2 linked regions of the Macaca mulatta genome follow. The main gene of each other region encodes a partner of the protein of the gene in region 2 in a complex. Links are inferred from orthologs where the notes say so. Each region holds a gene or a part of one and is shown on either strand. Other genes may lie near its edges.

Region 1 (3,655 bases), on a different chromosome or scaffold from region 2:
CACCAGGTCCAGCTAATTTTTGTAACTTTTTGGATAGAGATGGAGTTTCACCATGTTGCCCAGGCTGGTCTCAAACTCCTGGGCTAAGGCAATCTGCCTGCCTCAGCCTCCCAAAGTGCTGGGATTACAGGTGTGAGCCACTGCGCCTAGCCAAGAATATTGTTTCTATCAAAAAAGTTAATACTTTACTTTAGAAAGAAAATATGCTGTCAAATTAGGAATGGAATGAATAAGACAGTTATTTAAAAAGTGGGAGTGGGCTATAAAAATCTAGAAAGAATCCGCATTCAGGTTGCATCCTAGTGTCTAAGATCTTATTTGACTTTAAAGAGACCCAAAATGGGAATTATAAGCAGTGCATTGTGGGTGTAGGATACGCAGAAAGACAACACAGAAGTCTAATCAGTGAATTCATACTCAAAAGGCCTTATATTTTTTAAATAGCAAATGATTCTACATTGATATATTTCTGATAAAATACTGAAATATTTTAAGGTATGTACAGTGTTTTATGACTTCCTAGCATAAGACCTTTTTTTTTTTTTTGAGACAAGGTTTTGCTCTGTTGCCCAGGCTGGAGTGCAGTCGCATGATCAGAACTCACTGCAACTACCTCCCCAGTTCAAGCACTCCTCCCTCCTCAGCCCCCAAAGTAGCTGAAACTACAGACACATGCTACCACACCCGGCTGATTTTTTGTATTTTTTGTAGAGACGGGTATTTGCCTGCCTTAGCCTCCCAAAGTGCCAGGATTACAGGCATGAGCCATTGTGCCTGGCCTTAAGACCTTTTGATTAATTGATCAACTATTGTCCTCACTATATCAGTAAAAGGATTTCTAACTCAGGAACCTCTCAACATCTAGCACCATTTTCCAGAACTTAGTTCATTTAAAGAGGAAACAGGAAATCTCAGAGACACAAAGTAATATAAAAAGTTTCACACTTACTGTCAGTTCCTTCATGGTAATGTTCAAATACTGGCAAAGTAACACCTGTTAAACATAGAAGCATATATGGATTCACAAACCTTTAAGTTCTTTTTGTTGTTGTTGTTTTTGCCAAGGCTAGAGTGCAATGGCATGAGCTCACCTCACCACAACCTCTGCCTCCCAGGTTCAAGCAATTCTGCCTCAGCCTCCTGAGTAGGTGGTATTACAGGCATGTACCACCACACCCGGCTAATTTTGTATTTTTAGTAGAGACGAGGTTTCTCCGTTTGTTGGTAAGATGGGTCTCGAACTCCCGACCTCAGGTGATCAACCTCCCAAAATGCTGGGATTACAGGCATGAGCCACCGCGCCTGGCCTAAGTTCTGTTTCTTAATCACTGTTTTCTGTGTTTCTTTTTCAGCGAACTCAAAAGTCAAGAGCTTAAGTCTGGAATTGTAATTCGTTTCAATTAATGAATTTAGGAACTTGCCTTCTTTTTTTTTTCTTTTTGAGACAGAGTCTCACTCTGTCGCCCAGGCTGCAGTGCGGTGGTGTGGTCTTCAGCTCACTGCAACCATCGCCTCCTGGGGTCAAGTGATTCTCCCACCTCAGCCTCCTAAGTAGTTGGGACAACAGGCACATACCACGCCCAGCTAATTTTCTTTTTTTTTTTTTAAGAGGAGTTTCGCTCTTGTTACCTGGGCTGGAGTGCAATGGCACAATCTCAGCTCACCACAACCTCTGCCTCCTGGGTCCAAGTGATTCGCCTGCCCCAGCCTCTCGAGTAGCTGGCATTACAGGCATGTGCTACCACATCCGGCTAATTTTGTATTTTTAGTAGAGATGGAATTTCTCCATATTAGTCAGGCTGGTCTTGAACTCCTGACCTCAGGTGATCCGCCCACCTCGGCTTCCCAAAGTGCTGGGATTACAGGTGTGAGCCACCACGCCCAGCCTAATTTTTGTATTTTTTGGTATAGATGGGGTTTCACCATGTTAGCCAGGCTGGTCTTGAACTCCTGACCTCAAGTAATCCACCTGTCTCAGCTTCCCAAAGTGCTGGGATTACAGGTGTGAGTCACTATGCCTGACCTAATTTTTGTATTTTTTGGTAAAGATGGGGTTTCACCTTGGCCAGGCTGGTCTCAAACTCCTGACCTCAGGTGATCCACCCATCTCAGCCTCCCAAAGTGCTGGGATTACAGGTGTGAGCCACCACATCCAGCGGAACCTGCCTTATTTTTCATTTTTTATTTTTAGATGAAGTCTCACTCTGTCGCCCAGGATGGAGTGCAGTGGTGCAATCTCAGCTCACTGCAACCTCTGCTTCCTGCGTTCAAGCGATTCTCCTGCCTCAGCCTCCCAAGTAGCTGGGACTACAGGTGCATGCCACCACGCCCGGCTAATTTTTATATTAGTAGAGATGGGGTTTCACCATGTTGGCCAGGCTGGTCTCAAACTCCTTGACCTTATGATCCGCCCGCCTCGGCCTCCCAAAGTGCTGGGATTACAGACATGAGCCACCGTGCCTGGCTGGACCCTGCCTTCTTAAGTGTTCACTTCTATACAAAAGTCAAATTATTTTCAGTAATTAGAAACCTGGTTGTTAATGATTTTAACATGTAAAGCCAATCAACTTGTTCTAAGTAGAAGGAAGAAACTAGGACATTAAGATCTTGCTGTATAAACAGGTTAATTTTAAAATGTCACCTCTTTTCTCCCCAAAGAGTTTCTAAAAGGTTGAAATGTTACCTGCTACATTATCTTTCTTCGCTCGAATCTTCACTTGGGCTTTATTTACATTTTGGATAACTGTAGTGCTGCAGAAAAAGAGAAAGCCTTTATTTAGCAGACTGTTTAGAAATAAACCTCTAGGGACTCATTGGATAGTTTTACGTTAAATGAGACCAAGAGTGAGATGTCACAATTAAGTATGTTTTGATAACTGTCCTCTTTCCAAAAAGGGAGAAACATCATTACTGCCAGAGGAGGGCCTCTGAAAGCAGAGAATGAACAATATTCAAAACATTAGCAGTAAGAAAACAACAAAGAATGATTTTAAAGTTCGTGGATTGCTTATGTTTTCAGTCAGAGGTGTGCCACATGGATGTAACCGTAAGAGTTCTTCTACTAGTGTAAGATGGAGAAAACTTCTTCCTAGGTTTCCCGTTGAATTGATTAAGCTGGCGTTCAGTTCCTTTACCCTGGAAACATCTTGCATCTGGCTTTGTGTGACTTCTCAAATGTTACCAGAAAGTGCCTTCCTGGCAGGGTGCGATAGCTCACGCCTGTAATCCCGGCACTTTGGGAGGCCGAGGCAGGAGGATTGTTTGAGGGGTTCAAAACCAGCCTGGGCAATGTGGCGAAACCCAAAAATACAAAAATTAGCCAGTCTCATAACCCAGTCTCAAAACAAAACAAAAATAAATATTATAGAAAGTGTCTTTCCCATAACCACCCTAAAACACTCACATACCACTTATACACTATTGATCTCCACCCTCTGCTAGAAAATTCAATGCAAGCTGTGATCTTGCCAGCACTGGCAAAAATTAAAGCCTACCACTTCAAAGGGCCTTTTTAAGGCCCAAGAGCAGTGAAAGCTCCTAGATAATAGGCATCATGTCATTAGGAAAAGACTAAAATCAGAAACTTCTTGAAAACAACTTCTGCCTCGGCCCCTAATTAGCCAAGTGACCTCAGGAAGGCATTTAATTAAAACTG
Region 2 (3,655 bases):
TTATCATGAATTCCTCTAGAAATATCTCTAAACTATGTATTTTCATTTCCAATTTTGATTATGAAAATCTTCTGAACAACAACAAAGTTGAAAGAATTTTACAGTGGACTTCCAATCTCTACCAGTTAGAGTCTACCTTTAGCATTTTACTATATTTATCACATATCTATTTATCTTCTAGAATACATATACTTTTAAGTGAAAAAAAGCAAGGTGTATAACAGTACATATAATATGCTATCTTGGGAGGCCGAGGCGGGTGGATCACGAGGTCAGGAGTTCAAGACCAGCCTGGCCAAGATGGTGAAACCCCGTCTCTACTAAAAATACAAAAAATTAGCTGGGTGTGGTGGCACACGCCTGTAATCCCAGCTACTCGGGAGGCTGAGGCAGAGAATAGGTTAAACCTGGGAGGCAGAGGTTGCAGTAAGCTGAGATCGTGCCACTGCACTCCAGCCTGGGCGACAGAGCAAGACTCCATCTCAAAAAAAACAAACAAACAAAAAACAAACACATATAGAGAGAGAAAAAGGAAAGAAAAATACAAATATTTGTATTTGCTCATGTCTGTAATTACTAAACTAGAAGGATATACAATAAAGGGAGCTATAAATGTGGTTGCATGTGTGCATGGAAGTGTGTATGTGTTTTGATAAATGGCTAGATACAAGACAACAAAGGCAAGGAGGGTTGTCACTGTTTACATTTTCATTTATTTTAATCTTCAAGCCATGTAAAAGATTAAACAAAAGATAAAAGTAACAATAGAAAAAATATTTCTGATTAGTTACAATTTCATAGCTACAAAAACTTCTGTTTTTATTTAAAATTTTTAGATGATTTTGTTTTAAATTGGCACCTAGTACTATAGAGAGACTAGTTAACTGCATGCATGTGTTTTAGAATGGCCAAAAACATCATACCAAATAAATCTTGATTAAATACTCAAATAATTAATGGGGATTTTGAGAATCAAAGTAAAACACATATAGAAGCACTAAAAAAGTGATTCTTCTTCACTAGGCTTAACCCTTTATGCTTATTTTTCATAGAAAATTGAAAATAAATACTATGTTTAAAAGCCAAAATTATGATAACCAAATAGTAAAGCTTTCCTAGTAATAAAACTGAAATGTAATACGTCACTCGGTGCTATTATGGTGACCAATTTATTTGTGGACTTACTATTTTAAACCGAAATCATAATTGGAGAATTTTAACTTCACAAATCAATATTGTTATTCTGTTTACGCTTTCTTCCACAGTATGTGTCCCACTGAAGAAAAAGTTCAGTTGATCCCCCTGAAGTTCATGAATTACTGAAGCAGTAAGAGCAATGAAAGTTCAGAAGATACTAATTTCTTAAAATAAGAATATTAATTCATAGTACCTTTCTCTCTTTCTTTAACGTACTCCGGTATAATTTAGGTCTCTTCACAACACCAGCATTTCATGCTTCTAATAACATTAGTTGTTGCTGCTTTGCTGCTTCTACCTTTGGCTTAAATCCTTACTTTTTTTTTTCTTTTCTGAGACAGAGTCTCACTCTGTCACCCAGGCTGGAGTGCAGCGGTGCAATCTTGGCTCACTGCAACCTCCCTCCTCCGGGGTTCAAGCGATTCCCCTGCCTCAGTCTCCCGAGTGGCTGGAATTACAGGCGCCTGCCACTACGCCCAGCTAATTTTCTTATTTTTATTAGAGATGGAGTTTTACCATGATGGCCAAGCTGGTCTCAAATTCCTGACCTCAGGTGATCTGTCTGCCTCGGCCTCCCAAAGTGCTGGGATTACAGGTGTGAGGCACTGTGCCTGGCCTAAATCCTTAAATTTTGAAATATAGAAAGTGGCAGGAAATTGAGCCAAAAAGGATACAAGTTTCTTCATACACCTGAATAGTAGCCATGTCACCCTCCAATCGAATAATCTCTCCAACCAACTCGCTGTGGCCCACTCTCACCAGCTCATACATGGCTGCACCCGCCATGTCACAGGCTGTAACCACTGAAGAGAACAAAAGACTATTTTGATGACTTAAAACTCTAGTGTTCTGTGAATAGTCACAAATTATTAAAACACCCAATAAACCCAGTATCGTGCCTCTCTCATATATTCATAAGAAGAATAAAAACCTACTATTGAACATACTGGTAGTTTCACATAGATACATTTTTAGTGTATAATATAAACAGATAAGCCAAAGATTATTTATTTACATAATATACATGAAAACTTTTCAAACATTTCAAGTTCTGCACGGCAAACTTACCTGGTAGGATTCAAGTATGTTCTGAGAGTTGCTATGATATATGGAGTGAAGGCTTTGGAACAATAAAAAAACTTTTAAAAGTAGAAATTGGAATAAATGGTTTGGCTAGTAGTATGGTGGAATGCCACACAATTATCACTTTGCTATGCTGTTACCATTTCCTTTGAGAGACAGACCTAAAGGAACATCTTTACTTTCTAACAACTTACAGCAGTGGTTCTTAAAACTATTCTGGGACATGGACCCTTTTGAAAAACTAATAATAGCTCTACTAGAAAAACTCACACGCACATCTACAAAATTTTTTTCATAGGCCATAAGGATATTTACAATCAGTCACCACCACTGGGTAAGAAATTATCAATGGAATTCCATTTACTGAACTTACTATTTTGGACCATGTTGTCTAGTAAGCAAAACTTACTTTTCTAGCAGGGAGGAAAGGAAAGGTTGCCATATTTTTAGACACGTGTAAGAATAAACCAATTTTTAATATTTAGCCTTGTGATACAACTGATTAGAACTATATAACAGGTAATACTTCAGTGGAAACTATTAAAGTTTTATGAGTTAATTAACCTGTGTTAAAACAATGAAGACTTATTCATTCTGTAAATATTTCCCTCTATACTGATTACTTAAGAATTAAGATGCACTGAAATACCAGAGATAGTGAAATTTAAAAATCATATTTCATAAGCCAAAAAAGGATGCCATTGTTCCATTGCCTTATTAAGTACTTAAGAATTAAAAATTGCAGGAGGCAAGGGGAGGGAGAGCATTAGGACAAATACCTAATGCATGTGGGGCTTAAAACCTATATAACAGATTGATAGGTGCAGCAAGCCACCATGGCACATGTATACCTATGTAACAAACCTACACTTTCTGCACATGTATCCCAGAACTTAAAAGTAAAATCTAAAAAAATTTTTTTTTAAAAATTGTTTCCAGGAGCAGTTTACTACACAGTTTCACAGAGTATTTTTTCCTGAACTCTTTGATGTTCTTTTGCTTTTTCTCTAAAAGTTCTTGGGTTTAGCCTGTCCTTCCTAAAGACCCTTATGATCATTGAGAGGACAATTATTTCTCTGCATGGCAAAAGATACTGATAACCTTTTAATGACTTGCCAATGAAATCAAGCTCAAACACCAAGTTCTTGGGGGAGAAAAAAGGGGACAGTGACTGACAGTTTTCATTTGCATAAACATCAAAAAACTGTCATCACCACTACTGTAACTGGAACAAGAAAAAGACTATATAGCATGAGGTTTGAAGGATAATACATCACTAAGCAGGCTTTACTTAGAGAAACTGTGACTGTGAATCACATTTTGTAGAGGGAGTATTCAATAACAAAACAAATACTGGCGCAAGATTTATTATTTA

What was found.
Region 1: the proteins of ATP6V1A (region 2) and ATP6V1D are in contact, whole or in part, in a cryo-EM structure (PDB 9B8P), measured with the Rattus norvegicus proteins. The link is inferred for Macaca mulatta from reciprocal best matches to the Homo sapiens genes ATP6V1A and ATP6V1D. Residues at the interface, in NP_001101788.1 of Rattus norvegicus: Ala366, Met368, Pro369, Ala370, Asp371, Ser372, Asp416, Ser418, Asp436, Lys438, Glu491, Gln494, Leu495, Val496; in NP_955418.1 of Rattus norvegicus: Lys4, Asp5, Arg6, Arg167, Ala171, Val175, Ile176, Arg179, Tyr186, Glu190, Arg194, Glu197, Tyr200, Arg201, Lys204, Ile205, Lys208.

Annotation. Positions count from the first base shown.
Region 1 is NC_133412.1:140,512,371-140,516,025, forward strand, and holds part of ATP6V1D (V-type proton ATPase subunit D), read right to left. Parts: intron 2,752-3,655; coding exon 2,684-2,751; intron 995-2,683; coding exon 950-994; intron 1-949. UniProt on the Homo sapiens protein: Subunit of the V1 complex of vacuolar(H+)-ATPase (V-ATPase), a multisubunit enzyme composed of a peripheral complex (V1) that hydrolyzes ATP and a membrane integral complex (V0) that translocates protons.
Region 2 is NC_133407.1:169,945,744-169,949,398, forward strand, and holds part of ATP6V1A (V-type proton ATPase catalytic subunit A), read right to left. Parts: intron 2,001-3,655; coding exon 1,872-2,000; intron 1-1,871. UniProt on the Homo sapiens protein: Catalytic subunit of the V1 complex of vacuolar(H+)-ATPase (V-ATPase), a multisubunit enzyme composed of a peripheral complex (V1) that hydrolyzes ATP and a membrane integral complex (V0) that translocates protons.